Linked DNA regions of Arabidopsis thaliana. The protein of the gene in region 1 interacts with the protein of each later gene in a pairwise test. Each region holds a gene or a part of one and is shown in the gene's direction. Other genes may lie near its edges.

Region 1 (4,302 bases):
TGGAAAAGACAGTGGAGATAAACGAGGGCATACGGTTTATGGAAGACCTCCAGATGCTTAGAGCTACAGGTACAGAAGGTGATCAATTACCGACTTCCATGGAAGTGATGAGTCCCAAGTTTAGTGAGGATATGTTGGGTTTGGGTAGTTTCAAGATGGAAAGCAACAGTAATCCATTAGAACATCTAGGTCTGTATATGAAAATGGATGAGGATGAGGATGAAGAAGAAGACCCGCCACACTTTAGCCAGAGAAAAGTAGAAGACAATCCCTTTGACAGAAGTGAAAAACAGGAACATAGTCCTCACAGAGTAGAAGGAGAGGATCAACTCGTTAGCGGAAATGAAGAGCCGGTGAGCCAAGAGGCACATGATAATGGGGACCAAGAAGATGGAAAACCCATAAACCCAAATGAAATAGAACGACAACTGGAGAATATGCCAGAGCAAGAAAGTGGAGTTGGTGACAAGGAAGAGCAAGAAACTGAAGTTGTCGATATGAGAAAGCAAGAAAATGAAGTTGTTGATATGGGAGTGGAAGAAGTACATCCCCTTGACCGAAGTGAAGGGCGTACACTCAGTCCTCACAGAAAAGAGAGAGAGGACCCACGTGCTAGCGGTAATGAAGAATCGGTAAGCGAAAAGGCACAAGATTATGAGAACCAAAGAGATGAAAAAATCAATCAAAGCGAGAGAGAAGAACAATTGGAGAATGTGCTAGAGCAAGAAAGTAGTAGAGATGATGATACAGGAGAGCAAGAAACTGAAGTTGTCGGAGTAGGAAAAGAACTTTCCCTTGACAAAAGTGAAGGACAAACACTTAGTCCTCACAGAGAAGAGGGAGAGAACCAACTCGATTGTGGAAACGAAGAACTGGTAAGCCAAAAGACACAAGATAATGGGAACCAAGAAGATGAAAAATCCATCAATAAAATTGAAGGAGAAGAACAATTGGCGAATGTGCCAGAGCAAGAAAGTAGAGTTACTGAAAAAGAAGAACAAGAAACTGGAGTTGTCGACTTGGGAGAGCAAAAAAGCGAAGTTGTCGAAAAGGGGGTAGAAGAAAATGAAGCTGTTGACAATGGTGAGGGAGTGCAAGGAACTGAAGTTTCGGACAAGGGAGGAAACGAAACTGTAGTTGATGGCAATGGAAAGGTAGAAACCGAAGTTGTGGACAAGGCAGGGCAAAAAACTGACCTTGTTGACCAGGGAGAGGAAGATATAGATGTAGAAATTGATTGATGAAGTCTTTTTTCCGGGTCTTGTTAAAAGCAACAAGATGAAAAGAAAAAGTTGGGGATGTTTACGCATTGATTCTTCTATGCACAAAATGTAAATTTGATGTGGCGTGAAATGGCTAAAGCAAGCAAAAGAAAGGCAAAGCCAGATACATCTAGAAGACAAGACGATGAGTCTGTATTGCCTATTTTTCAACGTGACTCTGTTGACAATGATTCTAAATCGACGAAAAAAGAAAAAGAAAAAAACAATTTTGCTACAAGAAAGATGGTTTGGTTTGGTATTAAAGCAGCAAATTGTGCGACTGTTGAAATGTGCAGACTTTTGTTTTTTTTAATCTTTTAGAAGAGTAAACTGTACAGGGAAAGAGAAAGAGTCTGTTTCCTCCATTTAAACGAGACACTCTTTGTACTCGAGATCACTTTTTAAATTACTTCTGAGCACTGATACTTTTTGATTGATCAACTAAACCCAAATTATCTTCGCTTCTGGATAAAGGGTATTTATGTCAATTAACTTTGTTCTTATAAGATGATGATGCGAAGACACTGAGAGAAGCTAAGACAAAGCGCAGAAAATGGTGGGAGCGACTGTAGTTAGTAAATGGACTCCCCTATGTGTGGCTTCGCCGCCGGAGAGAAACTCGGCAAGTCTCAATCCACACTGTTCTCCAGCCAGGGTTAATTTTAGAACAGCGTTGGCCGCATTTCGTCCTCAGTTCCGTCTTTTCTCTCGCAATTCCGCGTCTCGCCGCCGTCTTCGCGCTTCCAGCTCCGCCGAATCGGGAATCTTCCTTCCTCACCTTGTAGCTTCTATGGTTTGTGTGCTTCCCCTCCATTTATGCGAATTACTTTGTTTTCTTAGTACTTACATTGATTAAACTCCGAAATCAGGAATTTAGGATTCAAATTAGTTTGGATATATTCTAATTTGATGAATCTCAATGCAATTTAGTGACCTTTTGATTGTTCTTACGTTGTTTTCTGTATTGTTTCAGGAGGACGTTGAGGAGACTTACATTATGGTGAAACCTGATGGCATACAACGAGGCCTTGTAAGCGTTTTTGCTTTTCATTTTTTTTCTTCTTCTGATTTTGAGGTTAAATTATGTATCTTGGAACTCTATGGAGCTTTGAATGTTATTTCATTACACTATCTTGGCTTAAATTATGAATGTATGATTCATTTGATGTTCTTAGGTAGGAGAAATCATTTCTCGCTTTGAGAAAAAGGGGTTTAAACTTATTGGGCTCAAGATGTTTCAGTGCCCAAAAGAATTGGCTGAGGTTTGACACTCACTCATTACATCAGTAGTTTGATAACTTTAGATTGCTTCTTAATGTGATATAACTAATAAATCATTGACAAGTATCGAGAAATTGAAGCCTGATCATGACTTGCATATTTCACTTATTCGCTACATTTGCGTAAGATGACGCTGCCTCATTTTTTTTTCATATTCGATTGACATAATTAATATTCTTGTGTGTTTATCTCAATTGCCAGGAGCATTATAAGGATCTTAGTGCTAAATCATTCTTTCCTAACCTGATTGAGTACATCACTTCAGGTCCAGTTGTGTGTATGGTATGGGTATAACTATGCTCTAATTTGATTTTTACTTGTTTTCAAGTTGTAATTAGATGAGTTAATTGCATGTGATGTTTTAAACCTGGTAAAGGCTTGGGAAGGTGTTGGTGTTGTTGCTTCAGCCAGGAAGCTAATAGGGAAAACAGATCCGCTTCAAGCTGAACCTGGTACTATAAGAGGAGATCTTGCTGTGCAAACCGGAAGGTTGGACTTCTATCATCTTTAAAATTGTTGGAAGTAAGCACTTAAAATAATTCTCATGGTTTGATATTTTTAAATTATGCAATTTGCAGGAACATTGTGCATGGTAGTGACAGCCCTGAAAACGGCAAGCGTGAGATTGGTGAGATTTCTTGTTTTTTGTTCAAATCATTCACCCATCTTTCATTGTTGAGACATTGACTATGTCCAGTTTAGGGGCAAATCAACGTGGTTCAAACTGCTTCAAATTAACTTGATAACATAACTAGATTAGATCATACTTGATTACTGAAATTGTTAGGTTCAATATATCTGTTTTAAACCATTACTATCACTTCTTCATTTACTTAGTTTGACCAATCACTCTCATTCCTTAGTATGCTAAACTTTTAGTTTTCATTTGCTGACATTTTGGCTCTTGTGGTTGTGGCATAGGTCTGTGGTTCAAAGAGGGCGAGCTATGCAAGTGGGATTCGGCTCTAGCTACATGGCTAAGGGAGTGATCCTTGAGAAGACAGAGTCAATTATAATGGTGTCCTTACTTGTTTTCTTGTTACCGATGATGAGCTTTGGTGTTTTGTTCCTGATTTTGGGCGGCAATATAATATAACTGCCAATCTATGGCTTGATTCTTCTCATATCTGTGATCACTTGTCATGTAATCAAAACTAGTTACAGATTCATCTGCATTTGGTTCTACGTTACAGACACCTCCAAAATCATTCATCTTCACTCTACACCGAGCAATGAAAATTTTCTAATCTCAAGCTAAAAGAACATACAAAAGAGTGGCTTTACAAAACGCAGATGCTGCGTGATTAAGATTGCTCAGATCAGTGTACCGGAATATCATTCCGGTTTACTTCTAAGACCGGTTGGTATATGGAATCTCAATGTCCTCAGGAGGAAGTTCCCAGTGATCGTCTTGTTCGTCTTCTCTGGATGCATTTCTGTTGTGCTTGCGGATCTCTGAAGTTGATAGTGGTTTTGGTTTAGGGTTTGGTCTCCTGTAAAATCAAAATCTATTGACTCAACTTCTCCAAGTGTTTTTCGAAAGAAAGAAGAAAAAGTGAAAAAAAAATCTGACCTTTTCCGATACTTCTTCGCAGCTTCTTTGGTCTTCCGCGTCTTCTTCTCCAGAGAGCTCTCGAAGAAGCGTCGTCTTCGAGATTCCTGCAACACACCCGCTCTGAAACACGACCTCTTGAAATCGTTAACCAGCTGCTCCTCCGATTCGCCGTCTTTAGGCACCACCTCGACGTTGTAGTAACTG
Region 2 (4,149 bases), on another chromosome or scaffold:
AAGGCTTATTAGCTGCATAATCTTAGACGATGTTGAAATCAAGGTAATTTGGAATCAGTGTTTTAGAATGTTCTTCTTGTTATGAATCCAAAAGATTCGTTGTTTAATGTTCTCTACTCTTGTTAAATGCAGGAGAATGCTGTTGTTATAAACTCAATTATCGGATGGAAATCTTCTATAGGTAGATGGTCAAGAGTTCAAGCTAGTGGAGATTACAATGACAGGCTTGGGATTACCATTCTTGGTAACTTCATTGTTTTCTTTTTGTTCAACAAATTTTTCGTTATATTTTTTCTGATTAATTTGTTTCTGCAGGTGAGGCTGTAACTGTGGAAGATGAAGTAGCAGTCATAGGAAGCATTGTTCTCCAGAATAAGACTCTTAATGTTAGTGTTCAAGATGATATCATCTTGTGATTTATCACAATGATTATCGTTTGGATTTTTTTTCTTTTTAATTGAAACAGAGAAACTTTTACAGAATTGTGTATTACATGAATTGAGTTCACAGGATTAGATTTTGAGTAAGTGAAACTATGGAAGATTTGTAAACTCTCACTGTACTTTGTGTTTAGATACTAAAAAGATTTTAGAAGAAAGAGTTTTAAAAGATCTAAGATAACAAGGAATCAAAGAAGTTTTGCTTCTTGATTGTGTAATCACTAGTGTTCAATACCTCCTTAGGCTCCTTTCTTTTGTGCAAATTGCTCACTAGAAAAATTGTTTATCTTGACTTCGTTTGTGGGGGTAGGCCCGGACATAATACCGGAACCCGAAGAACCGAACTGAACTTGACTCGAAATAACCAAACCCGTTCTACTTCGGTTCCGGCTAATTACTTGATCGGGTTCTGTTTTCAAATAACCGTGGGTACCGGAAATTACCCGAACTGAACCCGATACCCGTGGGTACTTTTTATTACCCGAACATATATATACATAGGGCTGCGCATATGGGTAACCCGTTCGGATTCGGGTAAAACCCGTTCGGGTTCGGGTTAAATGGGTAATGGATTTACTACCCAATAGGGTAAAATGAAAATTTTCGATTTCGGTCTAGTTCGGGTACATTCGGGTTCGGGTCGGCTTGGGTAAAGAATTTCAGGCCCTAAGAATAGCCAAACAAATGAAAACGGGTATTTTATGTGTAGATAGCGGGTACCCAACAAAAAAAAAACCTTAAATATTAACAAATTTTAATAATTTAATTAGATTTAGATATATTATACTAAATTTTGACAAACATAACAAATAATTTTTAAATAGTTGGGTATTTAGATCTAAAAGTAATTGATATATTTAGATTTATAATTATAATTTTAGATTATTACATTATATTAAGATTAAATATAATTAATATTTTTGATATTAAATCTATGTTCGGGTATCCTGTTTGGGTAACGGATAAACCCCGGACCGACCTGATACCCACGGGTTTACTAAAACTTTACCCAATGAAGTAATTTCTTAAAACCCTAACCCACCCCAACCCGATTTTTCGGTTCGGGTATCAGGTTCGATATCGGGTCCCGTTTTTTGCCCAGCCCTATATATACATATGAGGATATATATACACTAATAATGTGACTTGTTTAATGATTTGAGTTATGGAACAAGCTTAAAACAAGGTTTACTTCTTGTTTTATATTATTGGCTTAAGGAAAAACTTGTTATAATTTCAGATCTTTCGGGTTTTATGGATATTTTTATGTATGTTTGGGTATATTTGGACAAAGTTTGGGTAAGTAGTACTCAAACCCGAAATAGTTTTGGTTACTTATGGTTTTTTTAACTAATACCTGAATTATCGGACCCGAAGTGAAGCCGAACCGAACCCGACCCGAAATTGTTGATATAACCATACGGATCCAAAATTTCTAAACCCAAAAATTCGAACCCGAAAAATCCGACCCGACCCTGACCCGAATACCACATGCCCAGGGCTATGTTAGGGGAAAAAAAAAAAATACATGTGGGCTTAAATGGGGTTTGAAATTAAAACCGGTCTGAATAGACGGTTCATTAAGAAAACCGGCAATTAAAAACCGAACTTCATAGAGAGTCTTCTTTACGCATTCTCCGTCATTCGGTTAAGTTGCATCGATCGTTAGGGTTTTATCGAGAGAGCAAGGAGAGCGATTTCTCAAATCGACTTTAATGGCTGACGACGATTACAATGAAGTCGATGACTTGGGGTAATCTCTCCCTCTCTGTTTCCTATGTTAGTATCATTTGTACTCGATTTCAGTTGATTCTATCTTCTTCTTCCCGACGAATCGTAAACGATTGAGAACAATTGGATCAATTATTGTCTAGTTTGAGAGTCTATCAACGAGATTCTTTTTTGAAAATTTGCTTATTGTTCTGGCATCGTAGCATTGATTATAATTTCATATTGTTTAGATAGAAAACCCTAATTTCGTTTGAATCTTATACATCGGATTTCAAATTGTTGATGTTATGTGGTGATTTTCAATTGCAGATATGAAGATGAGCCAGCAGAGCCTGAGATCGAAGTAAGTTATTATTTGTAGAAGAGAGATTGACATTGCTTATTATTATTACTAGGCTGATTAGAATGTGTTGGTGTGAGTAGGAAGGAGTAGAGGAAGATGCTGATATCAAGGAGAACGATGATGTTAATGTTGACCCTTTGGAAACAGAAGATAAGGTTGAAACAGAACCTGTGCAACGCCCACGTAAAACCTCTAAGTTTATGACTAAGTATGAACGTGCACGTATCCTCGGCACTCGTGCTTTGCAGATTAGGTCAGCTACTGAGAACAATCTTTGTTGATTAACCGTTTAGTTGGCTCGGAAAGTTTGATTCTATGTACTGTTGTTGGCTGATACAGCATGAATGCTCCTGTTATGGTTGAGTTGGAGGGTGAGACTGATCCACTTGAGGTGTTGCCTTCTTCCTTCTTGTTGTGTTTTTCATGATTTGTCAGTAAATGTTGATATGTATATGAACATTTGTGTTGTTTATTGTATGATTTGGCTTAAGATTGCGATGAAAGAGCTTAGGCAAAGGAAGATTCCATTTACCATTAGACGTTATCTACCTGATATGAGGTGAGATTGCATTAGTTATATCAATACTTTTAGCTCTTCTTTCAAATTTGATATCTTCTTTTCTTGCGACTTACTTATGACTCTGAATCAGTTACGAGGAATGGGGAGTTGATGAACTGATCGTCGAAGACTCGTGGAAACGTCAAGTCGGTGGTGATTGATAAAATCTGGCCTATGTGTTTTGCAAAGCTTTCTGCTCTTGTATGGATTATGAACTTACGATATAGTCGCATGTAGAACTTCTTCATTTGTCCTATTCTCCAACACTACAAGAGTCAGGGACTCCAACAAAAATGCATGAACAACAAATTTTTTGTCCCAAGTTGTTTTTGGACATGGGTTTCGACAAGCCTGCATGTACATATACAAAGAAAGAAAATCCTTCGTGAAACCAAAAGAAGAAAACATCTATAATAGTTTGAGTATTGAGTAAGTACAACTCAATTGATAAACCTTTTCTCTCACACTTCCCAGCTTTTGTCGTCTCACAGAGTCAGATCGATTGATGCATAAATGAGTGATGCTAAAAATCAAAAAGCAAGATTAGAGAAGAATTATGCATGTTGTTTAAAGAAGTTGAGAAATAGTAATGTTAAAAACTATGTGAAGCGCTTGCTCGAGGATTGTTTCAGCAACACTATACAAGTGACTGGACTCAACTACTCACCATAGTCTCGGCCCAACGCAAGGATAGTGTAGCATGTTTCTTGATGAAATACATCTTTCAAACCACCGTTTACACCATCTGGCATGAGAGGAATCGAAGACGTCATGATGAATCTCCAAAATCTGCAGCCACTCTAATACAATGGATCGACAAGCAAATGCGTTTCCAACGCTGGCTTCAAAGTTGAAGTTAATCACTAAATTGTTCATTCTAATTTCTGATTTCAATCTATTTCATATAGAACATATGATACACTAATTGTAACGACGTTATCTTTTTTGAATCTAATTTACCATTTTCCAAAAAAAAAAAAAAAAAAAATGCAGGGATTAGAGAAGAATAATGCATTAAACTCAAAGCAAATAACTGTTAAATAGACCTTGGGATACACAACGTACAAAATAATGCA
Region 3 (4,402 bases), on another chromosome or scaffold:
CTTTTCTTGAGTGATGACTGATGAGATAATGGTCAAGGTTTGACAGACACATCTCTATTGTTTTGTTGTAGGTTGATGTTGTGGAATTAAAAAAAAAGGTTCAGTTCTATCTGCAAATCACAATTTTGAAGATGGTCCAGATGTGAAATTTTTGGTCTGTTTAAGGTTAAGATGGTCCAGTTTTTTTTTTGTTTTTTTCTCTGTTTCCGCAAATGTCAGAAGCTGGAATCTTGGGGGTCAGAGAAGAGATGGTTTGTGTAAACCAAAACGGCTCGTTTTTATAGCCAGTAAACATTTCTCTGAAACTTTTCTCAAACTATGTAACGAATACACTAAGCAAGAATACTACTGGAGTTTTGAAGCGACTACACTCACTGCTCGTCATTACTCTTCGAAATGTTTGATAAAATCTGGAAAAAAAAAAACAAAGTGGGAAACTTAGTGGAGGCCCTTTTGCTGGTCATGGATTGTTGCAAGTTCTTGAAATAAAAGCTTTTAAGACTGTACCTTGTCTGTGAATTCGCGGAATGCTTCTATTCCCATGGCTTCATCGAGTTCCTGATACATCCACAAATAGTTTCGTCAAAGGAGATCGATAACAACAACAAAAATATTGAATTACTGACGACGATGTAGATGAGCTTTACCTGTAAAGGGTTGGAAGAACTATCAATACTGTAGATGAGTTTCTGAAGAGGTTCATCCTTTAGAGCTTCGCGGATTTCACTAGAAGAAGCTGTAAAAAGTTCCCAGATTTAGAAATGGCCTACGAAGCTATAGATTCGTTCAGACGTTTGTTATCCAATAACTTGCTCGTCTATATATAATGTAGTTGGAAGAACATTACCGATAGCCTCGAACTGTGTCTTTTCTAAAATATACTTTTCTTCCTCTACAATTATCGGTCTTGCTACCGGAATTTCCTTCGCTGGAGATGCAGCTACAAAAAAACAGATTATGACTCAAACCCAAGTTCAAACAATTCTAGTCTAATGCCTAGCATCTCTGGCTACATCAGAGGTTTTGAAAATCAGCCCATGAATGTAAATAAGACTTAAGTTGGAAGAACCGTACCACTAGCCTTTTGCTGTGTCTTCTCTACAACATCATTAGCTTCCTCAGGTCTTTTCACCGGGACTTCCTTTGCTGGAGAAGCTGCTACAAAACCAGAGCATGACTCAAACCATGGTTCACACTGAACAACTTACACAAGTGAGCAAAGGAAAACTAATCAAGAAACAATGAAACCACAAAATGCACTAACCTGGCTTTTCTTCGGTTGAAGAAGGATCAGACGGTTTAGCACATGGAGTCTCTGCATTATTGATAAGATTACATACTTAGAACCACATCAACATAAACCTAAAGTAAAATCTTCATTGAAAACAAAACAGATACATAAAATACTCTTCCTCTATTGGTTATACAATCTGCAATGAAATTAGCAATTCAAAGGTCACGAGGTTTAAGCTAAGTAATAAAACTAGAGACACTCAACGAATTCAATTACAAAGTCCAAAACTTTAAGGTCTAACTCAGAAACTAACATCAATCAAGGAACTAATTCCAAATCCTAACTTTTTACGAATTTCATAAAGAGATCAAAAGAACTTACCTTTGTGTATCTTGAAACAACCCAATGAGCAGCTGCAGGCAAGCCACAGAAACCAAGTAAGAGACAATGACAAAGATGACTTAACAAGCCAATGATGAAACGAAAGAAAACCTATGTAAAAAGAGAGAGAGACGAAGAACACTTACTAAGGAACAAGACAAGAAGGACACTTGTATTTGGATACAACCTTCTCGCAGATTTCGCATGTTTGAGTAGCTCGAGGACACATCTCTCACTCTCTCACAACGAGCACAGCGATTCAGGGGAAGAGAAAAACCTCAATCAAGGAGGCAATGGGGTTTACACTTGCCTCTTCAGAAAGAAAGAAAGCCCAATGGGCCTGAAAGCTTTTTTATTTATGTCATTGATTTGTCACGGAGGCTTTTTGACTCTGCTTTTTGTGAATTCACTGTTGAGAAGCGCCGGAGAAGATGAAGCTGAAGCAATTAGAAGGCTTGTTGGGTGATCTTGAACAGTTCTCCAATCCTAAAGTATGTGAAAAATATTATAACTTTGAATACTAAAGATTGATTTCGTCGAACAAACTCTTTTGATTTTGATTTTTTGTGTGGCAGGTGGAATTCGAGCAATACCCAACTGGTCCTCACATTGCTTCTCGTATGCTTTTCACTGTAAAATCCGTCTTCCTCTGCTCTGAAGTTTATTACTTTTGTTAATATCATGCTTTCTGTGAAGTGGGTCTTCACTGTCTAATCTAGAATATATAACAGGCTAGTGATTTTCTCAGTGTGTGGATGTTAGATTTATGTAGTCTGAGTTGTTTTGTGATGCTTGGTTTTGTTCCTGCTGTCTTAGAAGAAGCCTTAAGTGTGTATCCTTTGTTTAGGCAGAGAATTCATATGGAGATATAACTGATAAGGTCGTTGCGGATTTTGGTTGTGGCTGTGGTACTTTAAGTGCTGCTGCTGCTCTTCTAGATGCTGCGTGAGTATAATCATCTTTGCCTCACTCTTCTATTCAATCTCTGTGGTTATCTAATCTCTTTATTGCTTCAGAACAGGTCTGTGATTGGATTCGATATCGACCCTGAATCTCTTGAAACAGCAACACTAAATGCAGAGGAACTTGAGGTTTTTTTGAAATTCTTCGTCTTTTATGTAAATGAGTTTTCTTTTGGTTGTATAGCAAATACCATTGCTATAATTGGTTTGTTTTGTAGGTCGAGATAGATTTCGTTCAGTGTGACATCACAAAGCTAGAGTTAAAAGGTACAATCCTCCTTTCATTTCAGTTCATTCAACGAAAAGAAGATTCTACCGGTAACATTTTTGTGGCTCCATGAATTGTTTTAGGCCTGATTGTGGATACGGTTGTAATGAACCCTCCATTTGGTACACGGAAGAAAGGAGCTGACATGGAGTTTCTCTCTGCGGCAATGAAGGTAAACAACAGAAAAGAATATCTCTTTTTACTGTTTTCTAATTTCGTATCACTCGGTTACATGTTTACATTCGATGTTTGGCTACGCAGGTCGCCTCAAAGGCAGTTTATTCCTTGCATAAGACATCTACCAGAGAAGTAAGCAAAGCGCCTTCCTTACAATATCTACTTACTATGTATTTTGTTAGTAACAACCTTAACATTCTTGCAGCACATTAAAAGGGCGGCTTTGCGTGATTTCAATGCGAAAAGTGCTGAAGTTATATGTGAGGTTGGGCTAAAAGATTTGAAAATTATTATATCAAAAGTCTGATGTGAATGTGTCTAAACATTCTAACTTATTCATATTGTTCCCCTTGCAGCTCCGATATGACTTGCCAAAACTCTACAAGTTCCACAAGCGAAAAGAAGTTGATATTGCCGTTGATCTCTGGCGTTTTGAGCCTAGACAGAACTAGACCGCCACGATCATGTAATGTTTAGCTTTGAGATAAGATTGATTATGTATGGAAGGATTCATGGTATGAACTCAAGTTTTACAAATCAACCTCTTCTTCATAGACAAATTTACAGCTTTTCATTGAAAATAGGTGGCAGCTTGGCTACACTGTGCTCTATCAAAACATATTGCAGATGCGTATAGACATTTCAAGTCTGAGACCAGCACCAACCGGTTTAAGTCTTTGTTTCACCTGAGACAGTTGAGCTTAATACAAAATTGTATCATACAATCCTAAGCAGTGAGACTTTAGTGATCTCTCAGATGATCCAACCATGTTGTACTTTCAAGACACTGAAAAGAGTTGTCACAAAATTTCTAAATAAGAAAATATGAACAAGTCCTAAAATTTGGTATTACATACATTGTGGAAAAAACCACAGAAAAATATGAAATAATAGAAGGAACAGCATGGATGCCAACTGAATAGATAAATAAAAAGAAATCAGCCAATGGATCAAATCTGTACTATCTAAAAGATTGTTACAAGTAATCATTCAGAAAAGAGAGAAGAAAAAGTTGGAAAGGTATTACTACACTATTATTTAATTTGTATGGTTGATGGTGAAGGAAGGAAGCTTCATCGAACAAATACTCCTTAATTTATATGCTTAGAGCTAATAAAGATTCAGCATCAAACGATTCTCAATGATTTAATTATATCTTCTCCCACGTGGGACGAACATTTCGTACCCTTATCGACTACATTACTCATTTTAATATTACGTTAAACAAAAACTAACCGAAACTCTTACTTTGGCAATTATATTGCTTATGAGTCAACTAATATTACTAGATGGATTTCTCGTATTAGCTAAATAGTAGATTTTGTTGGAAATGAATCACCAAATGTCAATAATTGTAATTTTGATAATATACTTTTATTT
Region 4 (4,318 bases), on another chromosome or scaffold:
TGACTTTTGCATTGGCATTGTCTTTACTCCGATGATCTACGCCTGAGAGTTGACCGCTTCACAGTCCAGTCTTCAAATTGTTTTCGCACTTACGATATCATTCATTTCTGATTCGTTAGGGCTCCCCCAAGCTTACAATCTTCCTTAGTAAAGTTTGGGAAAAAAACAAATAACATAAACATAATCAATCTCAATCTGAAACGAACTAAACACTACTATAGTTCATTTTCTCTCATATGTATATAACAAGATAATTGTCAAAACAAAAACTGTGAGTTGTAATCAAATGATGGCATTGATCAATAGTCATTGCTTTGTTGATTGAAGAAGATTCCACTTTTAAGGAAAAAAGACAGCTACAATAACTAAATTCTTTAAGGTTCGTTAGCAATGTAACCGAATACGTGAAGTAACACTAGCCATTGTTTAAAGAAAGAGAGTCGTCGAAACAAAACGTTGACTAGCTTATATGCTCTTATAATGATTTAGACAACTCACGTATATACGACGTTGAAGCCAAATTAGTTGAAATGTATATGTAAATGTAGTTGACTTTGGTAAGCGAATCTCCATTTTGGTCTTTTAAGAATCTGTAACGCCTGGAAATTGCCAATACCTCCGGTTCGTATATCTTTATATCATGATTTATGAGTGCGTATATTTGACTTTTTCTTGCAAAACCATACATACATAACATGCGAATGTCTTGTGTCTGTGTATATGATATCTAATGTATGGGAAAACTTGGAATATAGGTTTTATTTTCTTCTAGACAAGATCATGAAGTATAGTACGTATCTTTTATGATCATCTTTTTGGTCAGACGAAAGAATATTAGTTTTATATAATACATAATTTGTGATTTGTTTTTCTATCCTCTATAAGCACAAACATATACTATCAGATTATGACACATCAACAGTGCTAATATAACATTAGGCTGTAAAATCAACTTAAATATTTTGTAACACTTTTCTCTTAACTATTACAATAAACGTATAGCTGTTAGTTTGCAAGGACAGCGTTAACAACTTATTGTATCATAGTATTGATTCAAAACGTTAATTACTGTGATAACTATAACTTATTAACTGAAATGCAGACGTTGACAGACACACAAGAATTGAAATGTAGAAACGCGTTTATATAAGAGAACGCTAAATATATAAATTTCGGACTTTTCTAGTGAAACTCTATTAGTCTTCTTTTTTTTCTTTGGTCAAAAAACTTCCAATACGAAATTCGAACAAGAAGTATAATTAGTGATCAATAATGCGAATGATGCAATAAAAAGTCAAATGAAATGAAATTGATGAATTTAACTGTTATATAAAATTATAAGTTGACAGAATGAAATAGTCATATAATTCTAGTTCTAGACGTGGATAGCAAAAACTTTGTCGCCCATATGTATATAAAATTTGTACTCTAGTTATCTTTTAAGTATATAAGGCTTATATTATACATCGAAGTCAATGGTTCTTTGTGGTCTGGGTCTATAATCACAGGTAAGCACATCGTCATCGATTTCATTTTCAAAGTCAAGACCAATCTCGCTCTCTATATAATTGTTAAAAACCATCTTTCTAATTAAAATAGAAAGAGTAAAAGCCAAGTAACACCATTTTAAAAGGCTTCGCTTTCAATTCAGAAAGAAGAGAATAGAGAGCTTCTTCTTCTTCAATGGCGAAAATGGCGAAATTTTCTTTCTTCTCTTCGTCATCTCCTAAATATCATCCTTCTTCGCCTTCTTCATTCACTTCTTTCCCGGCTTCTCCTCTAAACCAGAACTTTACTCAGGCTATGATGGAGGAAACCGTGGAGACAGCGGACTCCGTCATCAGAAAATGGGACCCGAACACGCCTTCCTTCACCAAGATTGTCTCTCTGTTCAACCATAGCAGGAAGGAGGCTAAAGAGTTCATCAGATGTGTCCGTGATTTGCGCAGAGCGATGCACTTTCTTGTCTCTCAAGACTCTCAATCTCCAAAGCTTGCTCTAGCTCAGACCCTGATGCAGATCGCCATGGCAAGGCTCGAAAAAGAGTTCTTCCAGATATTATCTTCAAACAGAGACAAGCTTGATCCTGAATCAGTTTCCGGTCAATCCTCAATCTCCAGCAATTCTGAATTTGAAGATGTTATGGGATCTGACGACGACGATGAAAGTGACAATGAGATGAGGAAAGCTGGCGAATCGATCACTCAGGTTGAGAAAGCTTCAGCTATGGTGATGTCTGACCTTAAGGCGATAGCAGAGAGTATGATAAGTTGCGGATATGGTAAGGAGTGCGTAAAGATTTATAAGCGGGTCAGAAAATCTATTGTAGATGAAGGGCTGAGCTTGCTCGGGATTGAAATCTACAAAGGCTCCAGATTTCACAGAACGGACTGGGTCACGCTCGAGCATATGATCAAGAACTGGATAAAAGCTGCAAAGATTGGCATTGCCACGCTCTTCCGTGGAGAGAAACTTCTTTGTGATCATGTCTTTTCTGCTTCCAATTCAACAAGGGAGTCATGCTTCTACGAGATTGCAAACGAAGCAGCCACTAACCTTTTCAAGTTCCCTGAATTTGTTGCCAAGGAGAAGAAATCGCACGAGAGGATCTTCCCGCTAATGGATCTGCAGGCTGCAATCTCTGATCTCTGGCAAGACATAGAGATGATATTCCACTTTGATGCAGTAGCTGGTGTGAAATCTCAGGCGCTCACATCGCTGCAAAAACTAAAGGTCTCAATCCACAGTGCTCTCACGGATTTTGAATCAATCATTCAGAAAGATACGACGAAAGCTCTAACACCTGGAGGAGGGATTCATAAACTGACACGATCAACAATGAACTTCATCTCTTCCCTTTCTAAGTACAGCGGAGTCTTGTCGGAAATCCTAGCAGACCATCCACTCCCGAGAAACACTCGCCTGCTGGAATCCTATGTCAGAGCTCCAATTTCGGAAGATGAACAACACAATCACGCACTCTCTGTCCATTTTGCTTGGCTAATCCTGGTTTTGCTATGCAAACTAGACACCAAAGCAGAGCATTACAAGGATGTTTCTTTGTCTTACCTTTTCCTTGCAAACAACCTTCAGATCATCATTGAAACGGTTGGTTCAACTCCCCTAAGGAATCTCCTTGGAGATGATTGGCTCAATAAGCACGAAGATAAACTCTGCGCTTATGCTGGGAATTATGAGATAGCAGCATGGTCCAATGTTTTCATGTCTTTACCAGAAGAACCCACAGACCTATCACCAGAGGAAGCTAAAATATATTTCAGAAGATTTCACACGGCATTTGAGGAAGCATATATGAAACAATCATCACGAGTTGTACCAAATGCGAAACTTAGGGACGAACTAAAGGTTTCAATAGCAAAGAAACTTGTACCAGAATACAGAGAGTTTTACAGGAAGTACTTACCAATGCTCGGCCAGGAGAGAAACATTGAGATCTTGGTGAGATTCAAGCCAGATAATTTGGAGAATTACATCTCTGATCTTTTCCACGGTACACCAATTCATGCATCCTCTTCTTTTTCTTCATCTTCTTCCTCTTCATCCTGGAAATCACTTGGGTGTGTTTCAGGCTGAGAGACTTGATCCATAGTTTTGGCTAAATATTCCATTTTTTACATGATGTGAAGTGAAAAAAATGTAGATACGTGTGTTTGCATTGTGTGTGCAACAGAAAATGAGAACAAAAAAAAAAAAATGAGATTTTCTTTACATAATTTATGACGAGTTCTTCATTATCTAAGAAAAAACAAACTTGCGATACGCTTTAAGAATAAAACGAGTAGTCTCTAATAACCGAAGCTGATATAAATCTGATAAAGAATTCGATTCAGTGATATACATTCAAGAAGCCAATTACAAATCACAAAGAAGAAAAAGGCATAAAAAATCACACACAGCATACTGTAAACATAATGTGCTGAAGAACAAAAGCATTATTCACTCCTTCAATAACTAGAAAAAGAAGGAAATATGATATGCAAGAAAACATTTGAATCGCAACTATTACTTAGGAACTCCATGATCAGAAGGACGGGACAAAGATTGCCAACCGGTACAAATTTGCATGATTTGCTTGAGAGTTTCTGATGGTGGCTCCACAGTCCATGTTGGGTAGTGTTCACTTGGATGGAATACACATTCTTCACTGGCTCCTGTCATCAAGGAAGGTTGAGCTCCATTCAAGAACAAGTCATTTTCAGATCGTACTAACCCAGTTCTCGCTTCTTCCTTGTCAGCAGCCTACAAACAAACTCACACAAGATGATGGTGGTGGATTCAAAATAAGAACAAGATTTTC

What was found.
Region 2: the proteins of NDPK2 (region 1) and NRPB6B interact in a two-hybrid assay, tested with the Arabidopsis thaliana proteins (one large-scale study listed by BioGRID).
Region 3: the proteins of NDPK2 (region 1) and AT4G28830 interact in a two-hybrid assay, tested with the Arabidopsis thaliana proteins (one large-scale study listed by BioGRID).
Region 4: the proteins of NDPK2 (region 1) and EXO70H1 interact in a two-hybrid assay, tested with the Arabidopsis thaliana proteins (one large-scale study listed by BioGRID).

The regions. Positions count from the first base shown.
Region 1 is NC_003076.8:25,371,352-25,375,653, reverse strand, and holds NDPK2 (nucleoside diphosphate kinase 2), read left to right. Parts: upstream 1-1,749; 5' UTR 1,750-1,815; coding exon 1,816-2,055; intron 2,056-2,235; coding exon 2,236-2,292; intron 2,293-2,437; coding exon 2,438-2,524; intron 2,525-2,744; coding exon 2,745-2,825; intron 2,826-2,919; coding exon 2,920-3,032; intron 3,033-3,121; coding exon 3,122-3,171; intron 3,172-3,464; coding exon 3,465-3,532; 3' UTR 3,533-3,750; downstream 3,751-4,302. Other genes in the region: NPX1 (nuclear protein X1), read left to right, coding at 1-1,241; AT5G63300 (Ribosomal protein S21 family protein), read right to left, coding at 3,879-4,302. UniProt on the Arabidopsis thaliana protein: Major role in the synthesis of nucleoside triphosphates other than ATP. The ATP gamma phosphate is transferred to the NDP beta phosphate via a ping-pong mechanism, using a phosphorylated active-site intermediate. May activate MPK3 and MPK6.
Region 2 is NC_003071.7:1,618,253-1,622,401, reverse strand, and holds NRPB6B (RNA polymerase Rpb6), read left to right. Parts: upstream 1-2,022; 5' UTR 2,023-2,155; coding exon 2,156-2,193; intron 2,194-2,480; coding exon 2,481-2,514; intron 2,515-2,594; coding exon 2,595-2,767; intron 2,768-2,853; coding exon 2,854-2,905; intron 2,906-3,005; coding exon 3,006-3,073; intron 3,074-3,164; coding exon 3,165-3,234; 3' UTR 3,235-3,611; downstream 3,612-4,149. Other genes in the region: AT2G04650 (ADP-glucose pyrophosphorylase family protein), read left to right, coding at 1-43, 133-244, 316-416. UniProt on the Arabidopsis thaliana protein: DNA-dependent RNA polymerase catalyzes the transcription of DNA into RNA using the four ribonucleoside triphosphates as substrates. Component of RNA polymerase II which synthesizes mRNA precursors and many functional non-coding RNAs.
Region 3 is NC_003075.7:14,230,444-14,234,845, forward strand, and holds AT4G28830 (S-adenosyl-L-methionine-dependent methyltransferases superfamily protein), read left to right. Parts: upstream 1-1,996; 5' UTR 1,997-2,046; coding exon 2,047-2,106; intron 2,107-2,190; coding exon 2,191-2,247; intron 2,248-2,462; coding exon 2,463-2,560; intron 2,561-2,636; coding exon 2,637-2,706; intron 2,707-2,795; coding exon 2,796-2,844; intron 2,845-2,928; coding exon 2,929-3,017; intron 3,018-3,106; coding exon 3,107-3,154; intron 3,155-3,227; coding exon 3,228-3,287; intron 3,288-3,378; coding exon 3,379-3,474; 3' UTR 3,475-3,891; downstream 3,892-4,402. Other genes in the region: AT4G28820 (HIT-type Zinc finger family protein), read right to left, coding at 376-410, 508-558, 648-736, 848-940, 1,075-1,158, 1,265-1,315, 1,616-1,647, 1,762-1,844.
Region 4 is NC_003074.8:20,439,931-20,444,248, reverse strand, and holds EXO70H1 (exocyst subunit exo70 family protein H1), read left to right. Parts: upstream 1-1,598; 5' UTR 1,599-1,683; coding exon 1,684-3,594; 3' UTR 3,595-3,758; downstream 3,759-4,318. Other genes in the region: AT3G55140 (Pectin lyase-like superfamily protein), read right to left, coding at 4,024-4,260.